Linked DNA regions of Diceros bicornis minor. The protein of the gene in region 2 purifies or fractionates together with the protein of the main gene of each other region. This does not show direct contact. Links are inferred from orthologs where the notes say so. Each region holds a gene or a part of one and is shown on either strand. Other genes may lie near its edges. The genes, in order: NR1H2 and ABCA1.

Evidence for each region.
Region 1: the proteins of ABCA1 (region 2) and NR1H2 purify together in Homo sapiens (affinity purification with western blotting; 3 studies listed by BioGRID and IntAct, with this or other methods). This does not show direct contact. The link is inferred for Diceros bicornis minor from reciprocal best matches to the Homo sapiens genes ABCA1 and NR1H2.

Annotation. Positions count from the first base shown.
Region 1 is NC_080773.1:25,576,041-25,585,506, forward strand, and holds the start of NR1H2 (oxysterols receptor LXR-beta), read left to right. Parts: upstream 1-5,309; 5' UTR 5,310-5,437; intron 5,438-5,549; 5' UTR 5,550-5,683; intron 5,684-6,256; 5' UTR 6,257-6,275; coding exon 6,276-6,318; intron 6,319-6,397; coding exon 6,398-6,529; intron 6,530-6,829; coding exon 6,830-7,120; intron 7,121-7,202; coding exon 7,203-7,468; intron 7,469-7,667; coding exon 7,668-7,847; intron 7,848-8,489; coding exon 8,490-8,589; intron 8,590-9,466. UniProt on the Homo sapiens protein: Nuclear receptor that exhibits a ligand-dependent transcriptional activation activity. Binds preferentially to double-stranded oligonucleotide direct repeats having the consensus half-site sequence 5'-AGGTCA-3' and 4-nt spacing (DR-4).
Region 2 is NC_080767.1:14,665,854-14,674,601, forward strand, and holds the start of ABCA1 (phospholipid-transporting ATPase ABCA1), read right to left. Parts: upstream 3,433-8,748; 5' UTR 3,207-3,432; intron 1-3,206. UniProt on the Homo sapiens protein: Catalyzes the translocation of specific phospholipids from the cytoplasmic to the extracellular/lumenal leaflet of membrane coupled to the hydrolysis of ATP.

The DNA.
Region 1 (9,466 bases), on a different chromosome or scaffold from region 2:
CATTAACTCTAAGATGTCATCGGTTGTCAGCCATGTGCATCTCAGGATCAATGATATTGTCTATACTGTTAATTTACTTATTACCTTTAACGCTCGTTTCCCCGTTAGAATCTAATCTCCACGAGGGCAGGGATCTTGGTCTGTTTCATTAACCACTGTGTCCCCAGAACCTAGCACAGTGCCTGGCATCTAGCAAATAATAAATACTTTTAACAACCCACTTTGAGCACCTGTTGCTCTGGGGGACTTCCCTGACACAGCAGCTGCAGAGTCACTTTCTCTACAATAACTCGCACCACATCTGCCCGTCCTCTGTCTCAGAGGCTGGAATACTCAGTCTTGACCCCTCAGAATCTCCCCACCCGGGTTCCGCATCATCCAGTCCCAACGCCCACTCTGTTAATAAGTGGTTTCTGACAGATCTTGCCTGCAAATTCGTAAATGGCCACACGGTGGTGCTGTGGGCCAATTTTCCAAGCCAACACCAGCTCTGTCCCCACTCCCCACATGAGTTTCCTTTTCTGAGTCCTGGTTCACGATTTATTGAACAGGCTATGAGCCATACTCCTAACAGCTAAAATGCAAAGCCTTGTGATTATTCTCTATTCAGGACGAGGAGAAAATATTTTCTGATCAGTCTATTTTACACGAGTTGTGATAATAGTTTCATTTGTTTCTTCACATACATTTCAACATAAATTTTCTGAATGTCTTGAAAAATTAGTACACACACTGTAAACATGGCTGACTCGACACACCACGTTTTCACATTGGTAATAACATTTGATGCGCTTTCTTGTAATTATGAAGAACTAGTCTCTTTTTTTCTTTATTGTGAAATTTTTGTTGTGCATTATTGTTTGAGAGTCACCATATAAATGCATCCCGTCACCCCTTGTGCCCGCCCCCACCCCCCTTGCCCCTGGTAACCACCAAACAGTTCTCTCTGTCTGTGTGTTGGTTTATCTTTCACATATGAGTGAAATCATGTGGTGTTGGTCTTTCTCTTTCTGGCTTATTTCGCTTAGCATAGTACCCTCCAGGTCCTTCCATGTTGTTGCAAATGGGACTATTTTGTCTTTTTTCATGGCCGAGTAGTATTCCATTGTATGTATACACCACATCTTCCTGATCCACTCATCAGGAAGAACTAGTCTCTTAATTTGACTTAAATTACTGTGATCCAACAAGGATTTATTAAGCACCTTCCCCAAGGTAGCTTTTTTTTTTTAATATTTAATTTTAAAATTTTACCTCCCCAGTTTCTTGAGCTGAATCCTGGAACACATCAGTCTCTTTCAAAGCTCCTTGCTTTTGCCCTTGTGGTTCCCACTGCCTGGAATGTAGACTGCGCAGTGAAAGGAGCAGATGCTTCCCCCTGACTGCCTCCCGCCGGAGGTAGTGCGGACATTAACAAAAGAAACCTTAACTAAATAGGAGTTGGGAAGGCCTGTAGGGGGAGCTCTCACGCCCATCACACACCATCAATTACACCAAGAGACAGAGCTTGCATCTCTGACAGGAAATAAAACTACTCTACTACTGAAGGAAGATTTCTCTCCCCACCTGGCAACAGCCCAGCCAATGAGAAACACTGCAGCTCAGCCAATGAGAAACGCCACAGCTCAGCCAATGAGAAATGCTGCAGCTCAGCCAATGAGAAACACTTCAGCTCAGCCAATGAGAAATGCCACAGCTCAGCCAATGAGAAATGCTGCAGCTCAGCCAATGAGAGGCCATAGCTGCCCCAAACTGTTACTTTCCCCCAATGGACTTTCCTTCAGAGCAGCCCCTCCCTACTCCCCCTTTTTCTCTATAAAAGCAGCTCCCCTCCTTTGTTTTCTGGATTTGCCTATAGTTTGCCATAGCATGCACCTCCTGAATTGCAATTCCTTTGGCTATTCCCCAATAAACTCATTTTGAGATGAAATAACAGGTAAATTTGCTTTTTAAGTTGACAGTAGCTAAGAGATGTCTTCTTAACACAGCAAATGGGACCAGGATCACCCCCTATTTTTTCATATAGTGGTTTGTGCCCAGGTTGACCTCCACCACCAAACCAGGAGGCCTTCCAGGTAAGGCTCAGGCCTGACCCCTTTCAGGGTCTCCAGCCTCGCTCAGCACAATCCTACGGGAGGCCGCGGGCTGTGATTGGGTAAAGGATTGCCAGATTTTTCAACTCACCATTTTATTTATTCATCCAGCAACCTGGATGATTAAGAGAGGAATTATCATTCACATTTTACAGAGGCGGGAAACTGAGATGAGGGGGCGGAGGGGATGGGTGGGAAGGTGGTACAGGCCAGGTGTACTCCGCGGGGATTTGAACCTGCATTTTCAGGCTCTAGACACCTTGGAGTCAGCTCAGAGACCTCGGCTTTCACTCACTGCACCTATCACTTTTGCTTGCATTCTATTGGCCAGAACTCAGTCACGTGGTCACACTTAGCTGCAAGGGCAGCTGGGAAATGTAGTCCACTTGTGTCGCCCAGGTCAAGAGACTGTTTTTTGTGAATTCTCAGCCAGTACTGGACTCATCTGGCCCACAAGGCCTCATGATGGGACTGTGCTCCCTCTAGGATATTACCTCTTCCTCCTCACCTCATTAAGCTCCAGCCACCTTGGTCTCCTTGCTGCTTTTTGAATATGCCAAAATTCCTACCTCAGGGCCTTTGCATTGATTGTTCTATCTGGCTGGAACACACTTTCCCTCAAGTGTCCATACGGCTCCCTCTCTCACACACATTACCTCTGGAAGTTTTATTTGGGCCAAGAGGCTATTTTATTTCCACAATAACTGGGGTAGCTGCTGTCATTTACTGGGCAGGGGTTGGGGAGTTAGGCACATGGAAAGCTTAAATGTCCTGCTAGACATTCCATCAAAAAGTTGTTGCCTAATTATCTGACTTTCAGCCTACTCTCTTTCACATATACTTGCCAATGTAATTTCTGGCGTGACTTTAATATACCCTGAATTTTCTTGGGGTGCATCTCATGTATATACCAAGGAAAGATTATAGTTGGTCTTATTGATGATTTTATTAAGACTTGGCCACAGTTTTGGAAAAATCGCATCACCCACAGCAATGCTGCCTGAGGCATCTGAGTTGATACAGCACTTGTCTGTCAGACAGCTAGACACAAACAGCAATTCTGTATTTGGAAGTAAGATCTGGCTGCCATGTCGTTTCTCCTGTGTACTTATGTTGAAGTGCGTATCACTTTAGCTTACATTCATTCATCTTTTGCATTGCATTTGTTGAAATAGAATGATATTTTGTTGTTGTTGTGGTCACAGTTGAGCTATATTATCTCTGCATTTCACTTCAGAAGAGTAAAGGCAGAGTTCCACATTACAAATTATTTGTGATAAAAAGAAACAGAATTAGCCGTCAGGGAAGTGCAAATTAAAACCACAGTGAAACATGACTTCATACCCACTAGGATGGCTGTAATAAAAAAGACATAATAACAAGTGTTGGTCCTGATGTCAAGAAATTCACATCTTCGCACACTGCTGGTGGGAAAGTAAAATGGTGCATAGAGTCTGGCAGTTCCTCAAAGGGTTAAACATGGAGTTATTATATAACTCAGAAATCTCACTCCTAGGTATATACCCAAGAGGATTGGAAACATATGTCTACACAAAAATTTGCACAGGAATGTTCATAGCAGGACTATAACCAATAGAAACAACCCAAATCTCCATCAACTAATGAATGATAAAATGTGGTGTATCCATACAATGGAATAATATTCAGCCATAAAGAGAAATGAAGTACTGATATTTGCTCCAACGGAGATGAACCTCAAAAGCATTATGCTAAGCGAAAGAAGCCAGACACGAAAGGACGTATATTCTAAGATTCCGTTTATAGGAAATGTCCACAATAGACAAATCCATAGACACAGAAAGTAGATTAATGGTTGCCTAGGGCTTGGGGGATGCGGGCAGTGGGGGTGACTGTTAGTGGGTATGGGGTTTCCTTTGGGGGGGGTGACAAAAATGTTCTAAAATTCATCGTGGTGATGGTTGCAACAATTCTGTGAATATACTAAAACCATTGAATTGTACTCTTTAAATTGGTGAATTGTTTGAGTACGTGACTTAAATCTCAATAAAGCTGTTACAAAAAAAATCAGGGGATATTGGATCCATTACAAACGAGAACACTGGTCCGCGGTTAGTTTCAAATAACAAAATTGCACTGATCGGAGTTTTAGATATACCACGCACCGCCTTTCCTGAATCCTCACACCCTTCAAAAGAAAAACAAATAATTTCCCTCATTTTACAGGTAGGTCAACCGAGACTAGGAGTGATGTGATTTGCCCCAAACTGTTGTAATTCATCTTCAGCCTACTGCACTCTTCTAATAGTGAAAAGTTAAAAACAACTTTAACATCCACAAAAATAAACCTAGCTCCCACACCCTGGGCTCGCTATTTGAGTCCTGTCCATGCTTTTTAGCTCATTTAATCATAATAACAATGCAATAAACTCTTGTTCCCAATGTCAGATAAGAAACCGAGGTGCAGGGAGGGTAAATAGCTTGGCTCAACATTACACGGCGAGGAAGTGGCAGACACACCAGTTCAGCCAGCCCCAGACGCCCATGGAAACCACTCGTTTTACTGGTAACATCCTTGGAAAATTCCACAGCTTCCAAGGCCGTGCCGGAACCGACAAAACAAGCTACAAAAGACCATAGATCACACATTCCTCTTTTGGAAAAAAATGCGTGTATGCTCGATATAGATCTGATTACCACGGGGGAAAGACTTTGGAAAAATGTCCGTCTTCTACCTGATCAAGTATTCTGAGTTTTCTTTAAAAGCTATTATTTTTATCTTTCTGGCAGGGGAAGCTACGCTTTTTTTTTTTCTTTTTTTATTCTTCCTATCATGAAGTTATTTTTTAAATATATTTTTTTCTGGGTCGAGGTTTGTAAATTAACGTATTTAAAACCAACAAGCAGAGCACCTCCAAAATCAAAAAACTTCTAACAACCAAAAAAAGACAAACGATTTAAATCAGCCATCTGCGAAAAGGAGCTAGAGCTAGGGGACAAGCATGCCGCGTAAATCCTTGGCTGCGAGCCCAGAAAGGCACAGGATGAGTTAAAGCCACACAGCGCGCGGCGGGAAGGTTTGGGACTGGCCACGCCCACTCTCGCCCAGGGTTTGATTGACGGATCCGGAACTCTTCTCCCAGTCCCCAGTGGGTATACGACTTCCGTGCGGGGCAGCCGATTTAGCTAGTCCTACGCGGACCGGAAGTCCGTCCATTCTGACTCCCCGCCCTTTTCCGGAAGTGACGCACGGTGGGGTTGCCGGAAGAAGTGGCGAAGTTACTTTTGAGGGGACTCGAGCAGCGGCGGCGTGCCAGGGGACACAGAGAAGGAGGACGAGAGGCAGAGCAAGGGGACGGAGGCAGGTACGCTTGGGTGTGGGGCGACGCGGGAGGAGCCCGGGCCCGGGGCTTCCCGGCGTTCCCCGCGCTGCTCCGCTCAGCCCCCTTCTCTCCCGTCGCCCCCTCCCCTCCGTAGCTCGCGCCGCCTCCGGCTGTTTCCAGGGCAACGGGAGTAGGAGACCCCGCGAGAGGACGCCCACGAGACCCTCGCGCGCAGCCATGAGCCCCGCCCTCCACTGGTGCTCGGAGAGGGGCGTGACCTGGAGCGAGGTGTGGGGGCGGAGCTTGATGGGAGGAGGTGGGGCGGGGCCTGGAGGGAGAGGTACGGATGGGGGGAGTGCAGAATGATGGGGCGGCGCCTTATGGGAGGAGTGAGGGTGGACCCGGGAAGGGATGGGGCGGGGCCTAGAAAAGATGGGGCGGAGCGTAATAGGAGGAGGTGGGGTCAGAATGGGAGAGGGGGTGCTTCCTCGACAGAGGTGGGCGGAGTCTGAGTAAGAGATGGGGTGAAACTGGGAAGGAGGAAGTGAGGGTGCAGCACGATTGAAGCAGAAGGGGCAGTAGTTGGAAAGAGCAGGTGGGTGGGATCTGGAGTGGGCGGGGCCAGAAGGGGCGGAGCCTAGAGGGGGCGGGGCTTGAGCCCAAGCAGAAGGGGGCCGGCGCTGTTAGAATTGGAGGGAAGGGTTTGTAGGCTGGCAGGGGCCGGGGTTGGCGTCTGTAGGGTGGTAGGGGAGGAGTCTGGGAGAGACGGAAGAAAGAGAGGTGCCCCCATCAGAACCTGTGGCTGGCCTCACCTGACCCTCCCTGGCCCCACAAGGCTCTGAGTCCCCCTGTATTCTGCAGGCTGCTCCGTGACCCCACCATGTCCACCCCCACCACGAGTTCCCAGGACTCGCCCTTGCCTGGTGAGTGACCCCCTTCCCCACCCAGCACCCCCCAATCCCACACTTGTCAGGAGAAACTCACTGTGCCTCCTTCTCCCAGGACATGGCCCCCCTCAGCCCAGCGCCCCCTCCTCTTCACCCGCTGTAAAGGACGAGGGTCCTGAGCCGTGGCCTGGGGGTCGGGACCCTGATGTCCCAGGCGCTGATGGGGCCGGGTCGGCCTGCAGTGTGGGTGAGACGGGGCCCAGGGACGGGGCTGAGAGTTGGGATGGGGGCTCGGGAAGGGCTCTAGGAAGGCAGAAAGATCGGAAGTGGGGATGGGAGGCCCCAACTTGTTGATTTCTTTTTTTCCCTTCCTCTTTGACACCTCTTGTTTCGCTTCGTTCTTTGGGGTCCGCTGATGTATACACCTTTGCTCTGAATCGCCGTCTCCCCGGTTCCCTCCCTCCCACGATCTCTCGTGGGCCTGCCCCTCTGGCTGCTGTTTCTCTCTGTGGCTCCGTCCCTCATGGCCTCTGTCCGCCCACCACAGTCGCCCCCGACCCAGCCGAGGAGCCGGAGCGCAAGCGGAAGAAGGGCCCGGCCCCGAAGATGCTGGGCCACGAGCTGTGCCTCGTGTGCGGCGACACGGCCTCCGGCTTCCACTACAACGTGCTCAGCTGTGAAGGCTGCAAGGGCTTCTTCCGGCGCAGCGTGGTCCGAGGCGCCGCTGGGCGCTACGCCTGCCGGGGTGGCGGGACCTGCCAGATGGACGCCTTCATGCGGCGCAAGTGCCAGCAGTGCCGGCTGCGCAAATGCAAGGAGGCAGGCATGCGGGAGCAGTGTGAGTGCCCGGGAGGGAGCCCCGCCAGCCGGGCCCCTGCCCAGCCCCGGGGCCCCCGCTGAGGCCTGCGTCTGCCCTGCAGGCGTCCTCTCCGAGGAGCAGATCCGCAAGAAGAAGATTCGGAAGCAGCAGCAGCAGCAGCAGCCGTCACCCAAAGGGCCGGGGGTCAGCGGCAGCTCAGCCTCTGGGCCTGGGGCCTCCCCTGGAGGGTCTGATGGGGGCGCCCAGGGCTCCGGGGAAGGCGAGGGTGTCCAGCTAACAGCCGCTCAGGAACTGATGATCCAGCAGTTGGTGGCGGCCCAGCTGCAGTGCAACAAACGCTCCTTCTCCGACCAGCCCAAAGTCACGGTACCGGCCCTTCCGCAGCCTCCAGGGGTGGTGGGCCCGGCGGGGTCAAGCTGGCAGGGCTGCAGCCCAGGCCATGGTGGGGCATGGGGCTCCAGAGGGCAGGAAGGTCTCCTAGGGTGCAGGCTTCCTCAAGGTGCCCCCATGGCCTTGGGCTCGTAGGAGGAGTCTTCTGAGTAACCCTGGCCCCTCGCGTCCCCAGCCCTGGCCCCTGGGTGCGGACCCCCAGTCCCGTGACGCCCGCCAGCAGCGTTTCGCCCACTTCACGGAGCTGGCCATCATCTCGGTCCAAGAGATTGTGGATTTCGCCAAGCAGGTGCCCGGCTTCCTGCAGCTGGGCCGCGAGGACCAGATCGCCCTCCTGAAGGCATCTACCATTGAGGTAACAGCCGGCCCGCCATCCCCAGCAAGGCCCTTCCCTCCTGTCCACAAAGAACCCCAGAGATAAGCCCCGGGCCAGATGCCAGGCACATAGTGATGAGCAAGACTCCTCCAGTCCTCACCCTTGTGGGGATGACACTCTCCAGGGGAATGTCGAAATATTAAACAAGGTAATCAGAGCTTCCCGGGAGCCAAGGAGAGAAAGGAAACCGGCTGAGGCTGAGAATAATTGAGGATTGGGCTGGAGGGGCGCACTTTAGAGAATGTGCCAAAAAGTCTATTCAGCGAGTTGACATTTGAACCAAACGATGGTAACAAGTATTGAGTGCCTGGTGTATGCCAGGCTCCATTCCAAGTGCTGGGCATATGGGAGTGAATGAACCAGACACAGACTCTGTCCCCGTGCCTCGTGCATCAGGAGAGCATCCTGAGTGGAGGGTGCTGTGGGTGCCGAACCTGCAGGAGGGAGGGAGCCTGCAGTGTCCAACAGGACACAGGCTGGTGTGGCCGAGAGTACGGGGGGCAGAGGGGCGAGGCACGATGCTGGAGAGATCGGGCCCCCGTTCAGGCCAGGAGAGGAGGGCCTGGTGGCTGGAGGCTCACAGGGACGCCTCGAGCCCCCTGCCCCCACTGCTGTCCCCAGATCATGCTGCTGGAGACGGCCAGACGCTACAACCATGAGACAGGTTGCATCACCTTCCTGAAGGACTTCACCTATAGCAAGGATGATTTCCACCGCGCAGGTAGGGCCCCGGGGCCGGCGGCTGGGGGCCCGGGGGCCGGGGTGGGGCCCCTGCTGGCTGGGAGACCTCGGGCCGGCTCATCCTTGAGGCCTGAGCCTCCGTTTCTTTATCTCCAAAACCGGCTGAGGGTTGAGCCAACCCTGACGCAAGATAAGAGCACATGTATTGAGTGCCAAGTCTGTACGGTGGAACGCAGTGCAGGATGAGACAGGCTTCTGCTATCATACAGAGCATCTGGGTGGGAATGAGAAAAAGACACTGCCTCCTCCCAAAGCTGGTCTCAGCCGAGGGAGGCTGGATCTCACTTGGTTGTGAAGTGCGCAACCTACCCAACTGTACAGGGCAGTCCTGGTCCCTGCCCTCCAAGAGCACTGGCTAGACTGGGGATGTGCCCTAGGCGGTGGGCTTCTGGAGGAAGTGAAGTTGAGCCGAGGCCTGAGGGGTGAGAGACATCACCTAGGGAAAGGGAGGTGGGGAGTACTATTCCCCACAGGGGAACTGCATGTGCAAAGCCCCCACTCCCTTGGCCTCTGGGCTTTCCCAGTAAGTCCTGCTCTTTCCCGGCATCTCTCCCTGGGACACCTCTCTCTACTCCCGACCCCTGCTCGTAGCCCCATCATCTTCCCTTTCTCCGATTCCTGGCCCTTCCAACGCCCAAACAGTCCCAGTAACCATTTGAGTATGAACTTGGCAGGGGAACATTGTGGGGGGAGAGTGTTCTGGTAGCGGGGGGTCAGCGTGTGCAAAGGCCCTGAGGTGGGGAAGAGCTGGACGGTTTGAAGGAACTATAGGGAGGCCCAGACAGCTGGAGTACAGAGATTTGGGGCTGGAGAGGTGGTTGCCACAGTCCAGGCCTCAATTGTCTCTCCCTGGAACA
Region 2 (8,748 bases):
GGTAGTGTAGCAGTTAAGTGCGTGCACTCCGCTTTGGCGGCCTGGGGTTCCAGGTTTGGATCCCGGGAGCACCGACGCACCACTTGTCAAGCCATGCTGTGGCAGCATCCCATATAAAGTAGAGGAAGATGGGCACGGATGTTAGTCCAGGGCCCATCTTCCTCAGCAAAAAGAGAAGGATTGGCATTGGATGTCAGCTCAGGGTTGATCTTCCTCACACACACACACACAAAAACACAAAAAAATCTCAACAATAAAAAATTAAAAAAAAAAAAGAAATAACATTTCAAAAGGTCCACAACAGTTAGGGAGAGAACAAGCAGAGACTGTATTGTATTATAACCAACAAAAAAAGTTTTACCAAAGTTGGGATTGACAGCTAAAGTAATAGTTCTCCTCCCTTTTCCTTTTTTTTTATATACTTTTACAGCCAAATACTGTCTTCCCATTTTCTACACATTGCATAGGAAAACACTTTGAGATCACAGACTTACTCACAAATATTTGACTGAAGCAATAGTGAAGTTTTCATTTTAAGCCAAGTAAAGAAATTAGAGTTGAGTAAATTTTATTGTATGTTCTTTCCATGATGTTGCAATCTCTATGCAACCAAGGCCCCAGCAAGCTGAAGAGAATTTGGCTGGCCCACTCACAGCAACAACAGAAATATGATACCGGCTGTAAATTCTGATAAGGACTACAGGAGATGAATGTGCCAGAACATAGTGAGCATCCTCAGAAAGTCCTCTGCTTGCAGCAGCTGAAATTGTACCACCTCACTGCATGGTGTGGGAGTTAAAGAACTCTGGAGCTCACGGGCTAGGTTCAAACCTTAGCTCTGCCACTTGCAAAGTGGGTGGCCAGTTAACCTCCCAGTTTCTTAATATGTAAAATAGGGATAATAAATGGGTTTATTGTGAAGATTAAATTAGTTAGTATTTGAAAAGCATATGGAAAAGTACCTGGCACATACTGCTATTTAACAGTGTCTATTAAATAAACATTGCAATAACTTTGGCATTTATGCTTATTTCCACATGCAGATATGAAGATGTTCTCAGTTTTTAGTGTAGGCCCTCTCTCAGAATAGTTAAAACAAATTTTCAGAAAGATCTTTTAAAATTTGATGCTGGAGTAATTGATCATAAGGAGCATTATATTTGCATTATTTCTTTAATATCCAGAGAGTAAATAAAAACGTATTTGGATTTGAGAGTATTTTAGAAATGCAAAAATCATGTCTATCGGTATTTTCTGGATATCCAAAAGGTTCACAATTAAAGAGTCTAAGGCAATGCCCATGTAATTATTTTAGGAGCTAAAAATCGAAATAGCGAAGATATTAACAATTTGCAATCACTACCAATACAGCATAAACAATTTGGTTAATGGGAGGGAAGAGCCCTAAAAAATATTTTAAATGAAAAAATATTCCAACTTCTCTCCATATAAGGTACATACTACGTAAGATAATAAAAAGCTGTCACTGAGTTTCCTTCAGTTTCATTCATTTTTAATAATGTTTGCATTGAGACTTCCTGGAGCAGAGGGTGAAACCAACCAAGCGCTAATCACCCCTTTCTAATCCTAGACTAATCATCGTCTCACATGAACTGTAAATACGCCAAGTCAAAGTGTCCAGGGTCTGTTACAGGGCTCTATTTAGAGTTAAATCGAGATCCGGCCTTAGAAAATGACTTGCTGATTTTCATCACTAGGGAAGTTTTTAAAAATATCAAATTTGTCCTCTATTATACGAATGTATATATGATCCACTCATTTTGTGAGGTGTCACTGACAAGTCCCCCGTTTTAAAAGCTGATGGTATCTATGCTGCAAAAAACAAGGGCCAATTACTTCCTGTGCCAGATGCTTTTCTCTCTCTCCTCTTTCTCTCTTTCCCTTTTTCTCTCTCCTTCTCTCTCTCTCCTTTTTTATCTTTTTTCCTTCTTTCTGATAAGTGCTGAAGAAGAGGCACCAACACACAACCCTGGCACACTGGCCCATGACCCAAGAACCTTCCGGTTTAGCAACGGTCTTGGGGTCCGGGAAACATTCTAACAAAAAACCACTAGATGGGCTTTTGCCTGATCCTTCAAGTTTCCTCCCAGTTTGCAACCACCCGTCTTCACGGGATCTCAGTCGGAACCCGCGAGCGACAATGCCTCGTAGAGCCCGGCCCCACTCCGACCACGGGGCCGATTCCCAGGCCACCCGGCCAGGAGGCGCTGCGGGCCAATCCCTCGAGGCCGCCGGCAGCCCGCGCCCAGCCCTCCCCACCCCCACCGCCGAGCCCAGCCGCGCGGCGGGGCTCGGAGTTCTGCACCGCCTGCCGGGGTTACTCCCGGTCATTCTGCTGCACCGTCGCGCCCCAGCTTCCCCATCCGTGCCGGGCCTGAGGCTGCCCCAAGAGACAAGCAGCAAAGCACAGGAAGATGGGGGGCGAAGAGTAGGTACCTCAGCTCCAGTTTCCACAGACTCTCCTTGTCTCTAAGTCTTCTGTTTTTAAAAGGAACAAAACTCGTCCCCTGCTGCGCCAGGGACACCAGCTCTGGTAAGCGCACGGAGGCAGGACCATAGACAGGACCCCCAGGTCAAACAAAGCCCCCGAGGCCTCAAGTGAGCACTAGCGCTACGGACCCCGTTTGGGACACCTCCCAGTCGAGTTCTTGGGGAAGAAGGACCGCCGCTCCAGGTCCGGGGCGCACGGGGCCGATGCCCAGGTCACAGCCCAACTCAGACCAGCTTTTTAAGAACCGAGGAGGGACTGAGTGCTGGCATTTGTCCCGGTGGGCGCCGGCCTACCTGCAGCCAGAAGGGTTTTCAGCCGGCTCAGACGCTTCGGAACAAAGGGAAGCGCTGGGTGCCGGACCTGCCCCTCTCTCCACTCCGGCAGCAGCGCCCCCAGCACGACCAGGAGCCCCCGATTCCACTGCACCGACTACTGCGCCCTGGTCTCCACGCCCAGAGATGCTCCCCGGGCTCCACCGCCGGGCGAGCACCGAGGGCCGCAGCGCCGAATCTCTGGGTCGCCAGAGCTCGTCCTAGGACGTCCTCCCCCCCATTTAAGCCGCCCCTGCCCCATTTGCGTTGCAAGAGGTGGGATGTGGGGGTTCGGACCAAAGTACCTGAAACCGAGCACTTCTCAAAACCTGCTCCGCCCAGAAACAAAACAAGAATGTCCAAGTCACTGAAGAGCCTCTTACCTGTTTTCCACTTTTGTGTTTGAGTATCTTTCCCCCACCCCTTGAAAATCCCTTCCAGGAAAAAGGGGGGGGGGGAAGGAGCAAAGCGCCCCAAGAAATTGGCTCTGGCGGCGCTGGTCCCGCGGTGCCCCCTGCCCTGCCCACCTGCGCCCGGGCAGAGAGCTGTCAGCTCGGCTTGGCTTGCGCCGGCCCCACTCACTCTCCCTCGGAATTACCGGGTTTTTGCCGCGACTAGTTCCTTTTATAGATTCGGCTGCGCTGAGCGCTGGGGTTACTATCGGTCAAAGCCTGTTCTCTCCCTCCTTCCCCGCCCCTTTCCCCGGCCTCTGTTTATGTAGTTCAGTCACTCAGCAGAAAGCACGTGGAGCCGCGCCCCGCCCCTTAAACCGGCGACGTCCTGCGGCTCGGTGCAGGGCTGGGGGCGGAGGGTGGTAGGTGGGGATGCTGCAGGCATCACCTGGTCTTGGCTCGGCGCCCCTACCCCGGCTCGGGCCTGCCCGCCTAGGACTGGCGGCAAACGCGGTGCTTGGGGCTGAGCCGGAGACTCTCTCTCGTCCACGTTCCGGGCAGCCAACAGCACTGGTGGAAATCGCTTCCTCTAAACTCGTGTTTTCCGCAATTTTTTTTTTCTTCTTTTGTTAGTTTACTCAGTCGGAGGGATTGGGGGGTGAGAGAACGCGAGGCTGAAACCCCTCAGGACGCCAACCCTTTAGTCTTTCTTTCCTTTCAAATGCCCGGGGTGTGGGGGAAGGTGGACAGTCCTCTGGGTAATTAGCTGTTTTTGTTTGCCACCACAAACTCTGACTTTGGTATTCAATAGCGACTTGCTGCCTTTGGGATTCCTGGCCAAGGCCTCCCAGGTCTCTGGGAGGGCCAATGAAAAGCGTCTTGCTCCTTCTCTTTGTAAACTGGGGAGAGGGTGAGGCTGCAAAAAACAGAACAGTGTGGACCAGCCCCCTTTTTATTTTCATGATATTGGTCAGTGTCCTAGTGATAAATACACAGGGCTTGTATTTTGGCTTCTATAGATTGCAAAGTGCAGCTAGAGAATTGCAGTCATGTAAAATTATATAACCATTCCAGTTCGCCAGCTTTTTCCTCTGGCTTTGGCTTTGACAGTCAGGAGCAAGGCCACCCATCACATTTGAGGGACCGAGGCAAGAGTACAAATGGAGGCCCACATACTTTAAGTCTAAATATTTAGGTCATAAATCAAGTCAACAAATTGAAAATAAATGTCTCCTACCTTGACAAAGTTACCTTTGAAGCAACCTGGAAGGGCAGGTTCGCCTTCAGACTCCTTACAACTTGACCTGAGTTTTGGCAAGAGTGGGGTGGAGTGGGAGAGCCAGCCCCCAGACCCCTTCTCTTCTCACCTCCAGTTCCATCGTATTCAAGAAGAAACTCCACTGCGTGCATGTGGACGACCAGCTCCACAAGCCCCTTCCACACTGCAGTCAAGGCCACAACTTGAGCCCAGGTGCACAAATCAGTGGTACTGTCAACACTCAGGACAGATCCAGTGAGGAGGCCTCTGGAGGCCCTAGAAGTGCACTTAGGGGCCTTAGGGCAAGGAATTCTGGGGTCTACGTACTCATAACTCTGGTGGCATGGCCCTTTGACCCTTAGGAAGGACCGCTCACCCTTAGGAAGGGATGAAGTTTGAGGAGGGCCAGAGCCAAGCCTTCTGAAACCCAGGGCCCAGGAGAGGGCTCCCCTCTTGCCTGGATCAATGAACAACCCTAGCCAAGAGACTGGGTTCTGGGGTCAAATTTGACTGAACCACCTAATCTGCAACTTTCTGCCTCCATTTCTTCATCTGTAAAATGGAGAAAATATGTATGCTCTCTCTAGCTCACTGGGGTTTTCTGAGAGTGAATTTTGTTTATTTGAGCTCCTCGGAAGAATGGCACTGTAAACAAAGAGGGTGTTATTAGCTGACTATTAATGTCATTTGCAGGTACTAGCCATGGCCTATAAAGTTTTCTCATGCCAAACTTTTAAAACTCTAGGTCTAGCAAAGAGTTAAAAGTAATCTCTCTGACCTTCTAGATATCAAGGAAAGCTCCCAGAGGAGGTGTTACCATTCCAAGTATGATTTGGGGGAGTGATTAAGTCTCTCTGACTCTCTCTTCCCTGCCGCATTCTACCCCCTGCCCCCATCTACCAGTCACAGTGCTTAAAATCCCTCCATCAAAATCATTCTTTTTGGAATTTTGGAGGCTATGGTTCCCAAGAACACCCCTATTAAAGTAATCCCTTAGACTGTTCTACTGAGGAAGGAGTGACTGTACATCCTGTACAAATAAGACAAAGATAGGACGCTGGAGAAAGGAGGTGAGCCCAAGAAGAAGATGAAGCCCCAGAGAGGACAGGCAGTGATTCTAAATACATAAGTCTGTGGCCCCAAAGCCAAAGCTGATCATTTTTAACTAAGAACCTATGGTGTCAAGAATCTGCTCACCCCTACACTGAATACATGAACATACTGTAATGTTTGAAACATATTTGAGACATGTTTATTAGTCTCGTTGATTTCTACCAATAAAAGAGCACATGCCCCTAAATAGGCTAAGTGATTTGGCCAGGTGACACAAGGGCATAAGTCTGCTGACACCAAGCCCATACTTTGCAAGTGTGACAGGTTCATATGACAAAAATACTGAATTCCAAAAGTTAGAGCCTAAGAGAATGTGTCCCTGGAGAAAGTTTACAAGTGTGAATTCTCTCCCTTGAATGTCATAGGTTGATTTGTTCCTGAGTATGCTTCAGTGAGCTTTTCTCCAAGTCTTTCGATTCCTGCTAACACCAACACCAAAACTCCAAGTCCCCACCCTAGGTGACCCTTTCCAAATAAGTAGGAAGGCCCCTTTTTGTTGCTGTTGCTCGGGAGAAGCTGGTTCTGTAAAGCAGCCTTGGTGGCTTGAGGTTCTATTCTCAGATGACCCTGGCATCTTCTAGTTACAGAATTGTCCTTCAGGCAGCTGTGGCCTTGGAGACCCTGCTAGAGGTCATGGAGCTACAGAGAAGCTCGATTTTTATCATCCATTGAGACTTTTAAATTAGGGATTACCTAAAAGGCTTTGCTTGGAGGTTGCTTTATATATATCCGTTAACCGGCATACATCGATGTATGTATACATATTGTTTAAAATAATGATTTTCACCACCCATGTGTTTTGGTTGGTACACATACTGTTTGGTTCCTGGAAACTCTGAAAAAAATAGAGTATTACAGGAAGTCAATGAGGAATAAAAAAGTATTCTAAAAATAACTTTTCAAGCTGAAATTGTTACAATTAAGAAGACCTAATAGCTAGATTTTTTTGAGAATTCCTAAAGAATGAAAGGTGCCTCAAAATTAAAAAAAAACATAGGTAATACTTCTTTCACATAAAGAGGAATAAAAGGACCTACAGTTCATATTTGAGTCATTTTAATTCTTTTTTTTTTTATAATTTTATTTATTTATTTTTTTCCCCCAAAGCCCAGCAGATAGTTGTCTGTCACAGCTGCACATCCTTCTAGTTGCTGTACGTGGGACGCGGCCTCAGCATGGCCGGAGAAGCGGTGCAGCGGTGCGCACCCGGGATCCCGGCCGGGCCGCCAGCAGCGGAGCACCCGCACTTAACCGCTAAGCCAGGGGGCCGGCCCTGAGTCATTTTAATTCTAATACATGGTTAGACACAGAGACAAATCATCAAGCAATTGATATTCAACTTAAAAATATATAAGGACTCTCCATTATTTGTGGAGTAAACCATGTATAGTGTGGGCTCTCAATACCTACAAATTCAATTTAATTGGACCAGTGTGATCCCCTTCTGTAGTAACGTGTCTCTTATTGACACATAAGCAAGATTCAAAACGATTACTGCTTCTGGACTTGGGTAAGATATTTGTTCTGCTTATCATTGGGACCAACACATTAGCCTGGATTATAGCAGATATATTCCCCTGAATTACTAGTTGATCAATGAGTTATAATTCTTTTTAAAAGCCGTCCTTCCAACCTGCCACCCTTCAAGCTCGCCTTCCCTTAAGAGCCAAACTGCTGGAAAAATTTCATCTCTGCTCCCTCCCTTTCTTTCACTTCCAGCCCATTTCAGGCAAACTCTTGCCCCCACCACTCTGACTTTGTTCTGTTCAAATTTAATAATGACCTCCTTAAGAAGAAAGAGAGGGCCGGCCCCGTGGCGTAGCTGTCAAGTGCGCGCACTCCACTGCTGGCGGCCCGGGTTCGGATCCTGGGCCTGGGTTCCGATCCTGGGTGCGAACCCACGCACGGCATCTCAGGCCATGCCATGGCAGCGTCCCACATAAAGTGGAGGAAGATGGGCACAGACGTTAGCTCAGGGCCAGTCTTCCTCAGCAAAAAGAGGAGGATTGTCATGGATGTTAGCTCAGGGCTGATCTTCCTCACAAAAAAAAAAGAAAGAAAGAAAGAGGCATACATGCTTTCATTTTCATCATTATAAAATATTTTTAATGTAGAAAAATATCTCAAGCACAGAAAGACTGTTAACTGGTAACACTGATGACCTCCTTTAAGTCCTCAGGCTATCTGATCTCTGGTATTTGACACTGTTGACCACACTTTCCTTCCCAAAACTAGTTCTTCTCTTGTGTTTCATGAAGCTGGTTCTCTTCTGACTCTCCTGCCTCTTTAACTGCTCTCTTTCTGTCTCCTCTTTCCTTATATATATGTCTCCTAATACTGGTTTTCTCCCTTTATTTCTACATGCTCCACTCCCTTGGCTTCACTTAAACCCTGTATCGCCAGCTCTCATCTTCTTGCTGAGCTCCCCGACTGTGCTCCCTAACGCAGGATCGAGTACCCAGCAGGACCAGTGGTGTGCTAGAGTTGGCTCACTCCAGCTCAAAAGAGCTGACCGTGTATATCTCTTCCCAACTCTGCAATAAGTGACTTCCACGGAGCCAGCTTAAAATTGGCCAATGGTGGGAATATTTACACCATTGGAAATCTGATACAATCAGGGCTTCTTTTCTTTTTTTGGAAAGCCAGTTAACATTTACCCCCACAACATTTACCAGCACAACACTGAACAGGACATTCTGCAAGTAAACGCCAAAGCAATTTTTTTATCTTTCCTTTAAATCTCCCTCCTCCATCTGCATTTCATTTTTTATTTCATTTAATGACATCATCATCCACACATTGACTATGCGAAATCATAGTCATGCTCGCTTAACTTTTCATCTCTCTATCCCTGTCTTTCTCTTCTCATTCTAAAAATCACCAAGGTCAGGTCAATTGAACCTCCTAAATGTCTCTTAAATCTGTCCCTCCCTCTCCATCCCCATTGCCTAAGTCCAAGCCGAAGGTCTGGGCTTCTGCATTGCAGTAACCTCCAAACTGCTGTTCTTGCCTTTGGTTCCTTCCCCTTCCTGTTTATCTTCCCTACCACAATGGAGTGATTTTTGCATAGGGAGGAAAAAACTAAGCAAACCAACACAAAACCAAAAACTATCTAATCATATCTTGCTCCCCCCCCAAAACTTCCTATGGTTCTCCATTGCT